2 linked regions of the Mytilus edulis genome follow. The protein of the gene in region 2 purifies or fractionates together with the protein of the main gene of each other region. This does not show direct contact. Links are inferred from orthologs where the notes say so. Each region holds a gene or a part of one and is shown on either strand. Other genes may lie near its edges.

The links. The genes of interacting proteins can lie anywhere in the genome.
Region 1: the proteins of pre-mRNA-processing-splicing factor 8 (region 2) and protein ecdysoneless homolog purify together in Homo sapiens (affinity purification with mass spectrometry; 7 studies listed by BioGRID and IntAct, counting the BioPlex papers as one, with this or other methods). This does not show direct contact. The link is inferred for Mytilus edulis from reciprocal best matches to the Homo sapiens genes PRPF8 and ECD.

The regions. Positions count from the first base shown.
Region 1 is NC_092352.1:35,106,760-35,110,519, reverse strand, and holds the start of protein ecdysoneless homolog, read right to left. Parts: upstream 2,734-3,760; 5' UTR 2,704-2,733; coding exon 2,502-2,703; intron 1-2,501. Other genes in the region: ragulator complex protein LAMTOR2-like, read left to right, coding at 2,898-2,965. UniProt on the Homo sapiens protein: Regulator of p53/TP53 stability and function. Inhibits MDM2-mediated degradation of p53/TP53 possibly by cooperating in part with TXNIP. May be involved transcriptional regulation. In vitro has intrinsic transactivation activity enhanced by EP300.
Region 2 is NC_092349.1:30,224,823-30,228,582, reverse strand, and holds the start of pre-mRNA-processing-splicing factor 8, read left to right. Parts: upstream 1-990; 5' UTR 991-1,052; intron 1,053-3,121; 5' UTR 3,122-3,146; coding exon 3,147-3,336; intron 3,337-3,760. UniProt on the Homo sapiens protein: Plays a role in pre-mRNA splicing as core component of precatalytic, catalytic and postcatalytic spliceosomal complexes, both of the predominant U2-type spliceosome and the minor U12-type spliceosome.

The sequences.
Region 1 (3,760 bases), on a different chromosome or scaffold from region 2:
TTAAATCTAAAATTAAATGGTTGACACAGCATAGGTTTCTGACACAGAATGAATGTGGTCTAATGAACTTAAAAGTTTTTTTTTGCCTTTTAGCAATTCACTATGCTGTTGAATATTAATCCTCTCAAAAAAATGTTTGAAGAAATTTTCTTTTTATTTATGAAATCTGAAATGAGAAAAATTTAACCCCCCCCCCCCTTTTTTTCACATCCCCGTTTCCCTTTTTCCAAAACTGATATCAATTCAAATTTCTAATGGAGTTTGCAATAATAACTACTCTTTTAAATACATCATAAAATATTAAAATGTAAAATAAAGTGCTTGTTATCACTGAATGGTAAAGATTGGTTGGTAGTAAAAGTGAATATACATTGTTTATTGTATAAAACAATAAAAAAAACTTCATCAGCAACATTTTATATTGGCAAATTTCCAATGAAGTTATTTACATAAAGTTATTGGCAAATTAAAATAGAAAATGACATCATAGTCATGTCTGACAAATGTCCAACATACATTATCTAAAAACATTTTAGATAAGATAAGGAAAAAAAGCTTCATCAGCAACATTTTATATTGGCAAATTTCCAATGAAGTTATTTACATAAAGTTATTGGCAAATAAAAATAGAAAATGACATCATAGTCATGTCTGGCAAATTTCCAACATATATTATCAACTACTATTCTATACAAAGAAAGATAACTCCAATTGAAAATTAATTGCTATTGCACAATATTGTGCAATTAGATATTTCTTGCTATTGTGCAATACTGTGCAATTGAAAATTTCTTGCTATTGCACAATACTTGATATGGAATCCTGATTTGGACCAACTTGAAAACTGGGCCCATAATCAAAAATCAAAGTACATATTTAGATAAAGCATATCAAATAAGCCCAAGAATTTAATTTTTGTTAAAATCAAACTTAGTTTAATTTTGGACCCTTTGGACCTTAATGTAGACCAATTTGAAAACTGGACCAAAAATTAAGAATCTACATACACAGTTAGATTTGGCATATCAAAGAACCCATTTATTCAATTTTTGATGAAATCAAACAAAGTTTAATTTTGGACCCCCATTTGGACCAACTTGAAAACTAGGCCAATAATTAAAAATCTAAGTACATTTTTAAATTCAGCATATCAAAGAACCCCAAGGATTCAATTTTTGTTAAAATCAAACTAAGTTTAATTTTGGACCCTTTGGACCTTAATGTAGACCAATTTGAAAACGGGACCAAAAATTAAGAATCTACATACATAGTTAGATTCGGCATATCAAAGAACCCCAATTATTCAATTTTTGATGAAATCACACAAAGTTCAATTTTGGACCCTTTGGGCCCCTTATTCCTAAACTGTTAGGACCAAAACTCCCAAAATCAAACCCAACCTTCCTTTTATGGTCATAAACCTTGTGTTAAAATTTCATTGATTTCTATTTACTTATACTAAAGTTATTGTGCGAAAACCAAGAATAATGCTTATTTGGGCCCTATTTTGGCCCTTAATTCCTAAACTGTTGGAACCAAAACTCCCAAAATCAATCACAACCTTCCTTTTGTGGTCATAAAACTTGTGTCAAAATTTCATAGATTTCTATTCACTTAAACTAAAGTTATAGTGCGAAAACCAAGAAAATGCTTATTTGGGCCCTTTTTGGCCCCTAATTCCTAAAATGTTGGGACCAAAACTCCCAAAATCAATCCCAACCTTCCTTTTGTGGTCATAAACCTTGTGTTAAAATTTCATTGATTTCTATTCACTTTTACTAAAGTTAGAGTGCGAAAACTAAAAGTATTCGGACGACGACGACGACGACGACGACGACGACGACGACGACGACGACGACGACGACGACGACGACGCCAACGTGATAGCAATATACGACCAAAAAATTAAAATTTTTGCGGTCGTATAAAGAAGGGTTACAATTTATTATTGGCGATTCAAAGTCAGGCAGAAATGCAATCTAAAAGTAAACAAAGTAACCTTTTTCAGTCACAGCAGTCAAATTAAACTGCTCTTTTTGCCAAATGTGGTCGACAATTGTTGAACTAACAAAAGCAGGATAAGTGTCAATATATTCAAGTAAAATTTTCACTTTGTCTCTTGACATAAGCCAAGGATCCAAGGATGTGTCAACAAAGGGGAAAAGCCAATATTCAGAAGCATTGTCGGGTAGTCAATCTTTCTTTTCTACCATGCTTATTAAATGACTGGTTTGTAATAATTAACTACGATAACGATAGCTTATTTTCAATTGTACACATTTCTACAAAGAGTTGCATCGCCAGTGGCAAATATAATTACACATGTTTAACTGTTAATGCACATTCAGGACAATATAGCTCAGATATTCCTGTGTCTTAGTACTTGACTGAAAAATAATGAAAATGCCTCACATCTTGGGCAAATTTTATAGAAGGGTTACAATTTATTTTTGGTGATTCAAAGTCAGGCAGAAATGCAATCTAAAAGTAAACAAAGTAACCTTTTTCAGTCACAGCAGTCAAATTAAACTGCTCCTTTTGCCAAATGTGGTCGACAATTGTTGAACTAACAAACGCAAGATAAGTGTCAATATATTCAAGTAAAATTTTTCGCTTTGTCTCTTGACATAATGATGTGTCAACCAAGGGGAAAAGCCAATATTCAGAAGCATCGTCGGGTAGACGATCTTTCTTTTCTGCCATGCTAATTCAATGATGACTGGTTTGTAATAATTAACTACGATAGCTTATTTTCAATTGTACACATTTCTACAAAGGGTACCAGTCAAAATTTGCGGAAGTTCAGCACAGGTCGTAACCTCAATAAATTGGCCAATCATTTAGAATGTTACAAAGTGCTTTGGATCCGAATCATGTGATCTATTATTTTGTGAAAGATGTTGAAGCCAAAAGCATTAACTCAAGTTTTGAGTCAGGCAAATACTGGTGGTGTACAAAGCACACTGTAAGAATATTAACTAATATCAAAGTTTATGAATTTAATGATATACAAAGTATGCTAAAAATAAATGAAAACAAAATGAAATACTTTGGCATATCATTATCAGATCAAATCATTAACTGGGTAGAATCCTTTCTTTCAAACAGAACGCAAACAGTACTTTTAGAAAACATGTCATCTTCAAAAATACCAGTCTCATCAGGAGTCCCACAGGGTACAGTGCTAAGACCAATACTATTCTTAATTTACATAAATGACCTCCCAGATTACATCCAACATAGCAAAATCAGACTCTTTGCAGATGACAGTATAATCTACGGATCTCCTGTAGTTGGTGATCGCAATACTGGTATACCAGTATTGTCCACAATACTAAAAAATTTGTACCAGTATTGTAACTTTTTATAAAAAAAAACCAGCAATACTGGTACATTACTGATATACCAGTATTGTAGTTGTATTGTTGACTAGACTATATTGAAGATCAACGGGAGATTAAATGAACTCAAAAAGATTATAAAGGATAATTGTGAAATCAATTAACAACCAGTTAAAAGTCATTACTATACTTGCACAAATAAACAAAGGATTATTGAAATTAACTCATAACATCATTATTATTTAAACAATTGCTAATAATTTTATCATATTTCTATATTTTATTTAATTCAATAAAGATAAAATAAAATAAAAGCTTTTTATTATCTGAGTAATAATTTAATAAATTCAAGCAAATTATTAGACTCTAACACTGTAAATTCAGCATTTACATGTATGCCATCACACATTTTGACAGAT
Region 2 (3,760 bases):
AGTACACTTAGTGACACAGTCAATCAAAGATACACTTAGTGACACATTCAATCAAAGACAGGTTTACTGACACATTCAATCAAAGGTACACTTAGTGACACATTCAATCAAAGAAAACTTATTGACATGTATATTTGAAGACTTACTGAAACTAATATTCAAATTTATACAGACTAAATGAAACATTCAGTATTCGACAAGGACTGGTTGTTTGATTGTTTCCCATAATCTTACCCATGATTCAAAAACGTTTTGCCTTCCTACATTCTATTAATATATAGTCACCGTCCAAATATTGGCATCATGATTTTTGTCGATTTTTTTTTAAATATCAGTCGCATTTACTAGAGACGATGGTTTTCAAATAGTGGAATAAAAATCCATTCCAAATATCCACTACTGTCCAACCTTGTGTTTGCACTGTATAATCCTGACTTTCACATTATCAAAGATCATTTTCTACTTGCCCTATGTCTAAGCATATCACAAGACATGAAAGAACAACAGGAATAATTATGTGTAAGAATATGTATGCCCTGTCATGACATGAGTCTGACAAGTGTATTTTGCCATCCTGTTTTAATCCCCCTAACATTATTTACCTGTTCAATATATGCCCTAGAGAATGTTACTGTATGACCACCACATGTAAACCATTTTCAATAATGACATGTCTTGAGATGTGTGTGAGCTCTGATTTCAACATATGATTAATTAATGCCTTTTGTGGCCAATTACATACAAAGGTACACAACTCCCCACTAAAAATTTTAAAGTCTAAAATAGGTAAAGTATGACCCGAACTTCATTTTTTTTTCTTTCTGAAATACAGTTTTTGCCTTATCTTTCAACCCTAAAAAATAATAATTTTTAAATCAATGGCTTTAATCTTTATTTTCATGTAAAAAAAATGCTTATATACTGCTTAAAATTAAAAGGAATGAACTTTTTCCATTTGGAACATCTCAAGCATTTTCTTTACCTTTATGTAAAAACACGTGACCGACGCAGTATTTACGAAATCCGCCATTTGCCGAACACAGCACGTTGAGGTACTTTTCATTACAAGCTTCGAGTTTAAATGTGTGCATTTAGTGTTAACGTTGCATTCATATAACAAATACTCTATGTACTCTTATTAAGTACTTTTATCATGTTGTCTGCGTCAGTGTTTTGAGAACGAACTGCGACAAACTTTGAAAATAAGTTCAATTCAATTCCAAGCTTTATTTTAAGTCGGCATGTCCCAGAACAATAACATAAGCTCTTTGAGCTTTTATAACCGACAAATACATGAATTTACACAATAAACATATACAATACTAATGTTAAAACATACAGTACATAGACATATATTTCATGCACATGACGTAGTCCAAATAATTATGACGTCTTGAAAGGCTATTATATTTTTTTCTTTGACGCCTTACATCGACGTCATAATGCTGAAGCCGCCATTTTCGGTTGGACTTTGAGAGCATATTTTGCTCTCAACTTTGAGACCCAATTTAGCCATCAAATTTTCATTGAAGGCTAAAACACAATGCATAAACAAAAATTCTTACCTTTTATGTGTTTGTTTGTGCAAAATATTTCCAATTAATCCCGACAGAAATAATAATATAAGGAACAATTCCATCCGAGGCGGGAACATGTCGACTGCATTTTTTAAAACGTTTGTCTGATTTCCTGTAAGAAGATTATAAAATAATTTTCACACCAAACTCGGTAAAACCCGAATTTCCGGAACCATTGTTTTACATTATCCGGAAATTCAGGTCGGTGAAAATGTACCGAGTTTGGTTAAAAAATATATTTTATACACCTAAAATGAAGCATCTTTAGGAGAAATCAGCTAAACGTTTTAATAAAGCAGTAAATTCCTTCTCAAAGTCCAACTGAATATATGAGTTTGGCGTTATGACGTCGATGTAAGGCGTCAAAGAAAAAAATTATAATAGCCTTTCAAGACGTCATAATTATTTGGACTAGCACATGACGTAGATTTATACATGTAGTTGATATAGATTTTTGTTTTACTTTATAAAAATATAAATAAATTTGATGTATTTACTCTCTTCTGATTGGTTAAAAGAATTAGCTTTATTTTCAATGTTATCAATTTTTATAGCGACACGCCCACTCTAACGTTGTGTATTCATACGCAAACATCTGTGTACGTTGTTATTCCTATTAATATATATCCCTGAGCCTTATTTTTGATACAAATTTATTTTGAATTTATTGAACCATAAAATTAATTTTTGACTCTTCACATTACATAATCCGCTTCGCTTTGATTACACTGACAGTTTAAAGAAAAGGTCGTATTCTAAAGTGTTTTTATTGTTAGATATGGGACATGGAAGTGAATATGAAAAGACAAAATGAATTGTGTTTTTTATTAAAAAAAATCCATAGTGATACTAGTATTACAGCACTCAGTTCTGGAAATCTCCGAACTCTAAGGTTAACGAATTCGATGGCAGTTACGGATTTCATTAACTGAACCATTTACTAATTCGGTAACTTCTCTGTTGGCTTTGGCATTTTGAAATCACTTATTTGAGTAGCAAATTCAAAATTTTGTCACAAATTGTGATTTTGTAGTTTTACCAAAATTTTAAACACATAGGTCTAAATAATATCTTTTCATTAGTAAAATAGAAAAAATGAACTTTTTGCATGTAGCAAGGTTTATGCCTTTAATGCTATCATTTAGCTGCAAATTGGATTTTAGTTGAAAAAATGCTATAATAATGGCTCTACATATCCCAGCAGTGGGAGTATTTTTCCTGTAAAGTTCAAGGTTTCATCTTTCAGATTATGTAATAAAATTCTACTGTTAGCGATAAAAATTCCACTGTTCGGGGGTGTTGAAATTAGTGGGGGTTATTAAAATAATAATACTTCAAAGAAGTGATTTTTGGGAAGGAAATTGATGTATGATACTTAAACAAGTGATTTTTATGTCATTATCCTAGATTCAGTACAAGGTGATCACCTGAAATGACCTGGTCATCCTATCAACACAGATGTTGGTTCTGGTAATTTTAGGAAATATATTTACAATCCCACATGTTATACCATGAAAATGTTATATTTATTACAATTATTTCAGGTGCTGTAAATAAACGTTTGGCAAGATGGCTTTCCCCTATATGATAGGGCCTGGTGGGCAGCCATTTATAATACAACAAGTTCCGTTGATGCCACAACCATTGATACAGCAAGTCCCCATACAACAACAGCAGCAACAGCAGCAACAACAGCCTCCAGTGCCACAACTTCAGAAGCTACCTGATTATATGTCTGAAGAAAGATTACAGGATAAGGGTAACTATATTAAAACATACACACTGTTAATGCTACATCAATACATCATAAGGCCAAATAAAAAAGTATGTGTGGTTCCAGTTACATCTGAAAAAAAGTTAGGGTAGGTAGGTAGGGATTTTTTTTTATTTTATGGTTTTTTTTTTACATTGAGTCTATGGGAGCAACATTCTGACTTTAACAGTGCTTAATGGAAAATGACAATAAAATCTTTAGGGTAGGCTATTTTTAAGCCGATAAAGTAGGGACAGTAGGGTTACTGGAACCACAAATATATTTTTATTTGGCCTAAGTAAAATCAAAATATGTATAAAAAACAGTTGCAGGAAATATTAAATACACATAGAAATGAACAGGGGTATACTACTGTTGCCTTTGTTTTCAAACACACATGTTGGGACAGAAATAAGATTTTGTGACAATT